Linked DNA regions of Yarrowia lipolytica. The protein of the gene in region 1 interacts with the protein of each later gene in a pairwise test. Links are inferred from orthologs where the notes say so. Each region holds a gene or a part of one and is shown in the gene's direction. Other genes may lie near its edges.

Evidence for each region.
Region 2: the proteins of YALI1_F26012g (region 1) and YALI1_D35945g interact in a two-hybrid assay, tested with the Saccharomyces cerevisiae proteins (2 studies listed by BioGRID). The link is inferred for Yarrowia lipolytica from reciprocal best matches to the Saccharomyces cerevisiae genes PEX29 and PEX30.

The regions. Positions count from the first base shown.
Region 1 is NC_090775.1:2,599,519-2,603,670, forward strand, and holds YALI1_F26012g (uncharacterized protein), read left to right. Parts: upstream 1-1,777; coding exon 1,778-3,583; downstream 3,584-4,152. Other genes in the region: YALI1_F25999g (uncharacterized protein), read right to left, coding at 1-473, 524-533; YALI1_F26039g (uncharacterized protein), read right to left, coding at 3,841-4,152. UniProt on the Saccharomyces cerevisiae protein: Involved in the regulation of peroxisome number, size and distribution.
Region 2 is NC_090773.1:3,592,573-3,596,064, reverse strand, and holds YALI1_D35945g (uncharacterized protein), read left to right. Parts: upstream 1-1,660; coding exon 1,661-2,911; downstream 2,912-3,492. Other genes in the region: YALI1_D35965g (uncharacterized protein), read left to right, coding at 1-560; YALI1_D35911g (uncharacterized protein), read right to left, coding at 3,201-3,492.

The DNA.
Region 1 (4,152 bases):
CTGGCGGTTGCCCAGACCACAAACCACATAGTTGGAGTTGGTAGCCTTGTCCATGGTGTAGACCTTGCCTGCTGTGGGAATCATCATAGAGCTGTCCTTGTTTCCAAAACCTCCCCGAGCGTCAATGAATTGCAGGTTCTTGTCCCACGAACCCGACACAATCAGATTGTTGCCGGCATCGCAAACCACTGACGAGATGGCATCTGCATGCTGTTGTCCTATGCTCAAAAGTTCTCCTGCCTGAAGATCTATTGCTTCAACCACACCTGCCAATCCTCCTGTGAATGCAACACCGTTGTCCCCCCAACAACAGTCGAGAATCGGGCTGGATGCAGACACCTCTGTGACCTGTCGAGAATTGTCGTGACTGACAGAGTACAGACGCAGTTTAGTATCCCAGGAAGACACAAGCAGATGCTTCTGAGGACCCCATGTGACCTTCGATATTAAATCGGGCAAAGCGTCGATTTGAACTGGGTTAGAAAATGTCGCTGACAAGAAGAAAAATCAAACGGATACTCACTTATGCTCATTTTTTGGACTTGTTATCGAAAACCGATATTGTTCGTGATGTTCCGGCGTGTATACAAGCTTATGCAGATCAACATGCGTGGTTGTCATGGAGACGCGTGTCAAATCAGGAGGCTAGGGTTAGGGTTGGAAACAAGAGCTGGGCCATGTGGGGGATCTAACATGAGTGCATTCTTTCCTTGTCTGGAGTTTCGAGCTTGTTGTAGGCACAAGTACGACAATACCTGAAGATGTATATGGTTGAAGACTATGGATCAAGAGAGTTGGTGATTTCTTTTCCAGCCCGAAAACAGCCCACTTTGACTTTGGGGTTTTCATCGACTGGGTTAATCGGTGTAATTACTTGTACTTGTAGCTTCTTGTAGTTCAGACTGACATATTGAATGATACCAATGTTTACACACTACCCACTGTATTGTTCGATGACCTCCAAACATACAATGGGAAAAGTGAAACGAACGTCATCAACTCTTGTGTACTCGTACTTGTAGTTTCAGATCCATATAAGACGACAAAAGGATCTTGCATATGAGCAGTATTGGCCACTTTCATCAAGTGTGGCCCAAGTCAATTATCGGGTGAGAGAGAGGCGTGAATCTTGATAGTCAAGTTCAGTTGAAGCTTGTGTGTCATGCCTCTCCGCCTTCAAATATCTATACGGGGGAAGAGCAAGAATAGCGTTATTACAGAGGCTGTAAGTTGGAGTCTTGCCTGTAATTCGGTGACAGTTGGTGCACCGGGTCGTGTCGCAAACGGTCTCAAAACCACCTCCAAAACCACTTCCAAAACCACCACTTCTGGTCCTTGTTTCAGAGACCTTCTCCAAGTCATAATATCCAGCTACTGTACGATACTGTATCCAAGCAGGCTGAACAGGTTCGTATATCTGCATGCATCTTCTGAAGTTAATCCCAAAAAATAGAGAAACGGCATGTAGCTCACCGAAGTTCACATTGGAGAGGGTACTCTTGTTCCGTCAGGTTAAGTGGTCCACTGGATTCTCAAGAGAGAACATATCCAGCTTTCATTCTCCAGCTGCACCCTTGTCAACATTTGGGGTCTATCTAACCCCTCCTCAAATAGGGTAAAAGAGCAATCGTCAACAGTAGGCTTTTGGAATACATGTGTGATGCAGCAACATCCTCCAAGGCTCAGCTGGATCAGTGTTTGTGAACCTCTCTCAGTGACCTTGTGAGATATTAACGGCATCACTTAGCGTACCACGCCCTGCTGCGCATCTTGCATCATGACCTCGACAGTGGAATTGGCCGAGCCATTATCGTCACAGCGCAATCTCAAAGCCATCAGCCTGGCGTTCCACAACCAAAACGATGATCAAAATCTGTCATTACAACCCGTCCACTCGCACGACAGCGATATCGCCAATGGGAGCTCGACCAAAAGCGATATCTCGAGTTTGGACAGCTCGCCCAAGAACCACTCAGACAGCCACCATAAGGGTCTTACAGATGATGTGTCCGCTGAGAAACTAAGAGGAGGAAAAATTGCAGACTCGGACGGCAACGTGATGAGCGACGCCTCCGATTCGGAGCTGGACACGGACGGCCCCGAACCCATCAACCCCCATGCTAAATTGTCGGTCAAACTCATGGACAAGATGCTGGCCCTAGCTCTGCCTCCTAAATCAGCTGCAGTGGCCAAGAGAGTCAGAATCCAGCAGGGCCAGGACCCCTTTAGTATGAATCTAATGGGAAAGAACTTCAGGGGCGTCACGTCGCGGTTCACCATCATCTACGAAACCTACTATACCGTGCTGGAGATTCTAATGTGGAAGAGACCGTCTTTTACGCTAGGAGTTATGGCCATCTACTCTTTCATCTGTTTGCATCCCCGACTGCTGTTCATCACCCCATTGGCATACATCATGTTCTGTGTCATGGTTCCCGCGTACGCCTCCAGACACTACGACGTCCAGGAGAATTATTTGACCACCCAATGGCCTACCATTGAACCCAAGATTCCTGCTCCTGCTCCCGAGTTTTCCAGAGACTTTTACATCAACATGGTGGACACACAAAATGCGATGACCGACTTCATTCGCACTTATGATATCGTTGCTGGCATTCTGGCACACTTGATCTACTTTGCTGGAGATGAATCACTCAGTGCTGCCATCTACTTTGTTGGAATGCTTGGGGTAGCTATCTTTTATGTATACGGAGATACCATTCTCCGTATCATGCCATGGCGCTTCTTCTTCTTTGTCTTTGGATGGGCTGTCATTCTACTGCTTAACCCGATGCTGCATAGAATCGTCCTGAGAGAGTACAAGAAGCTCCCTCACGAGACCCGGGAGAAGTTCACACCTGAGGCTGTAAAGGAGGTGATTGATGAACTAGCAAGAGACGAGTTCCTGTACCATACCGCCGATGATGTGAGAGTGATAGAGGTATTTGAGCTGCAAGAACTGGATGTTCACACGAGACAATGGAAGACGGCTACTTATGTTGCCCATCCTCACATTCCGTCCATGCTTCATGAGCCCAATTACTATGCTGATCCTGACGACTTGGGTTTGAGCCCTACCGCTTCAGCTGGATCTGTTGACTCTGAATCTCGAATCCTACCTCAGTTCCGTCACACAAATGGTATTCCAGACAGGACCTTTTCGCCCCCGCCAACGACCATGGGCGAGGCCATCAGAAACATTGAAGAGGAGGTGTCTATGGCAACCTACGGGGTTAGTTCTCTTCATCAGATCCCTGCGCCCCCAGGAGTTTATTCGTTAGAGGAAGTTCTACCTCCTACAGGATGGACCTTCCTGGAGGTCCCTGAGAGAGATATGCTATCTTCTCTACCGCGGTCGTCCGATTGGGAAATGGACTACATGCCTGAACAGTGGGTAGCTTGGTGGGGTGCCTGGCGCAAGTACCTCGAGATTGACCAGGACGAAAAGTGGGTCTATGACATTCTTCCCGACGGATTCAGGGGTACTTGGAGAAGAAGACGGTGGACCAGTCTGTGCAAGCGAAAGTCGTATCTGAAGTCCAATGTTGTTGGTCGTGTCGGAGAACGGCGTGAGCACGATTGAGCCGCAAAACAATAAGATCATATAAGTTATTGCATTATTTATTATTCAGCCATATGTAATTGGAAGTGACAAGTTCTTCCTGAACAAGTATGGTACGAGTAGGGTAGGCTCTTGTAACCACCTTGTCCGTTGCACAGTGTACAGTGGTTAAACCGAAGGAGCCATGAACGTCGTCTACAGCTCATCTAGCTACCGTACACAAAATCCCATCCTAACCTCTAATATATTAACATACGTGCCCCTGCGATAAATACTTCTTAACAAGCACAGTTGGACTGCTCATTATCCAGATGGATGTTGATGGTGTCGGCGAAATCGTCCGTGTAGTCCTCTGAGTCCACCTGTGCCATGGCGTTTCGAGCAACGGTCTCGAAAGCCTGGTCTACACCAGTGTCCTCCTTGGCACTGGTCTCAAAATAGGGAATGTTGCCGGTTGCCTTGCAGAAGGCCTGGGCTCGCTTGGCGGAAACTGCCCGCTTGCTCTCCTCCACATCCACCTTGTTACCGATCACCACAAAAGGAAAGTTTTCTGGGTCTCGGGGGTTGGCAAGGAGAAGGAACTCATCTCG
Region 2 (3,492 bases), on another chromosome or scaffold:
CAGTCATCAACATGTCCAAACACAAGGACAACAAGAAGGGAGTTATTGCTGCTCTCATTGACTACTTCGTCGCTCGAACACAGGACCTTCCCGAGCTACACAAGCAGATGCGAAAGTTGCTGGGCCCCTCTTCCACCTCCAAGGTTGGTCTCATCATCTCTGAGCGGCTCATCAACATGCCTGTCCAGGTCGTTCCTCCCATGTACAAGATGCTTCTTGATGAGACTAAGGATCAGGACTTTGATTACTTCCTGGTGCTCTCGAAGACTTTCACTGAGGCCGAGACCTCTGTGGACGAGGAGGACGAGCGGCCCTCTAAGAAGAACAAGAAGGGCCCCGGATACAAGCCCGAGACCTACTACTTCCATCCCGAGGATGAGGTTATTCAGGAGAAGAGTACACAGTACGGCTCCTACGCATTTAAGAAGGCTTCCCAAGAGGCTGACTCCAAGCGAGCCTTCCAGGAGTATGGTATCTTCCCTCAGGGTCACTTGATGCTTTTCAAGGCCAAGGATCTGGAGGCCATTGTGGCCAAGATGGAGGTTGAGTTTGCCCCTTAAACAGGGTCCAAGTACCACTACAAATACGAGTACGAGTACGAGTATCTTAAAGATAACTTCATTCATGTTGCAGTGCTACAGTATGTACAATCGCGAGAGCACAGATAGATTGGTCCCCCATAGCCAGATTGGAGAACGATGTAAAAGGTGACTGTGGCAGCTTACTACCGCTTGGTACGAGTAGTAGGACACTTTTGGGATGGCCAATAACTAGAATTTAGAAGTATTAATGTATTTCGTGACTATAAAAACAAATTTATGATACAACCAGTTTCCTTGTGGCTTCCCTTGAATTGTGCACATCCTTTACTCTTTCAACTACAACACAACGTATACGCTTACAGTAGCTGATTTGCTCAAGACATTCGCCACCCAGCTTCTTTGCATACATCTGTGTGTGGACCAAGTAACACCGAAAGACTACCACGCTAAAGCCTGATCTGACGGCTGACTAAGCCATCAAAGTGATTATACGCCCAAACCCCACCGATATCATCAAGGTTCACAAAATGACTTCTCCGGGTTTGTGCCAAGGGCCAAATTGTAAGGTAATTTTGCACATTCAGTCAGGGCCTGCAGATAGTATGCGGTGTGGGGTGAGAATGAGAGCGACTTCTGTTAACTGTGGCAATTGTTTACACAAACTGAGGGCCAATTGATCTGATGCTGAATGTGGTAAGGGCAGACAATACTTTCAAGTCAACAAGTTATGAAGGAAATACCTTCCCGACGCGCCTGCCAACTTCTTTCGGATATCGCGCATGGGTAGAGAACTTCTTGGGTGGAAAATCTAGCCGAGGTCGCCCGAGGTGTACAACGGTCCCAGACGCCACAGACAGTCTTGAAATTCAACAAAAAGGGGTCTTGATCTAAAAAGTGCTATAGGGTAGTGGGGTGTCTAACTTGTGTACCAACAGTTTAATTGCCATCTCGTGGTGGTCATCCCATCCTACAGTACTGTAGTGCGTATTGTACCCCACAGTGTGAAAGTTTGTGAGCATCATGCAAGCGTGCTCATAGCAACATCACCACCCAAACCCCATTCGACCAAGCACACTACGCCTGTGAGCACATTACAATCACAGCGGCAAACAGCAAAAATGTCGGATAAGGAGAAGAAAAAGAGCAGTGCGACGCACGCGGCCTTCCCTCCCTCAACGGCCTCGCAGCCTCAATCAATGAGTCCCCTGCTGTCTTCCACTCCCCCAACAGTCACCAAGGCACTAGCTCAAGCATACCCATACATTCTGGCCAGCGACAAGGTGCTGGGTCTGCTGACATGGACTGAGGATGATCAATGGCAGAGCTTTCTGTTGGTGGCCGTCTACGTGACCGTGGTCATGTACTACGAATACTTGGTCATCTACTGTGGTCACATTCTTGCCGTGGGCTTCATCTGGGCCTTTGTGTACATTCGACAAAGTGTGGAGAGACGGCAAACATCGGAGCCCTCTCTGGATGCAATTGTGCACACGCTGACCAATGTCACCACCAAGGCAAATCTTCTGCTGCTTCCAATCACCTCTCTGAGCCTGACCCCCAGAGATGTGACCCGATTGGCATTCACCACGCTCTTCCTATCGCCTCTGTATATGTTTGGTGCCTACTTTTTCCTTGGACCCCGAAAGTTCCTGCTCACTACCGGCGTCTTCTTCCTCACCTACCATTCCATGGCTGCCCGAGTCACACGAGCAGTCATCTGGAAGTCCAAGGCCATTAGACTGGTCACCTTCTACCTCACTGGACTCGACTTTTCCAACACAAAGCGAAACCTGGGCGCCTTTGGATTCACCCAATCGCCCCTGTCGGTGCAGTCCAAGGACGGAAAGCCCGTGCGGTTCACCTACGTACTGTATGAGAACCAACGACGATGGCTCGGTATTGGCTGGACCGCCAACCTTCTGGCCTACGAGCGAACTCCTTGGACCGACGAGTTCCTCAACGAGGTTACTCCTCCTTCTGAGTTCAAGCTGCCCGATACAGAGGGCACCGGCATGAAGTGGCAGTGGGTCGATCCTACTTGGCGATTGGACTGTACCAACGATGGCGCCCTGGTCATTATTGGCAACAAGGCTTTGAGCACGCCCGATCCTTCTCCCTCCGAGGGATGGATCTACTATGACAACACATGGAAGCGACCTACTGCAGACGACTCTTTTAGCAAGTACACCCGACGACGACGATGGGTGCGAACTGCTGAGCTCATCACCGTCACCAAGCCCACTGATGTGGTGGTCACTGTCGAGGAGGATGGTGTGACTGACGCTGCTGGAGATGTGGAGATCATCACCACCGAGACCGAGGAGAAGGTGCGAAGACGAAAGGGCATTAGATTCGAGGAGGACTCTTAAGAGATAATTAAATATATGAATGTATCATTTTTTTACGCGATTGCGTGTAAGAGAGGCGGCTATATGAGCTTGTTCACGTAATTCAAGGGTGTGTCTGTGTGTACTGTATACAATTACCGCCGTCTGCAGTAGGTATTGTATGCGCACACACACAGTAACGGTATGTGTACAGTGGCTACTTACTTGTACAGTACTTATACTTGTACAAGCGCCACATTAGTAGAATAATTCGTGCTTAGAACTACGTGTACTATTTTTCTTCTTTTTTGATTTTTTTTTGTTATTTGATTTAGATATGGGACCAAGGATCGATGGCAATGACGGTTCCGAATTTCTCGTTGCCAATGAAAAAAACCTTGTATTCATAGCCCCACTCGTCCAGCCAGGCCTTCACCTCCTTGGTCAACATGTCTGTTTTGGAAACAACATGGTAACCCACACCAGAGATCGCATACACCAGCTTTTTATTCTTTCTGTACTGCTCCTCGACTCCCAGAAGAATGTTCTCCAGATGCATGACACTGGTATCAAGCTCAAGCCCATGAAGGTCACAGAAGATCTCTCCAAGGTCATCTCGGTAA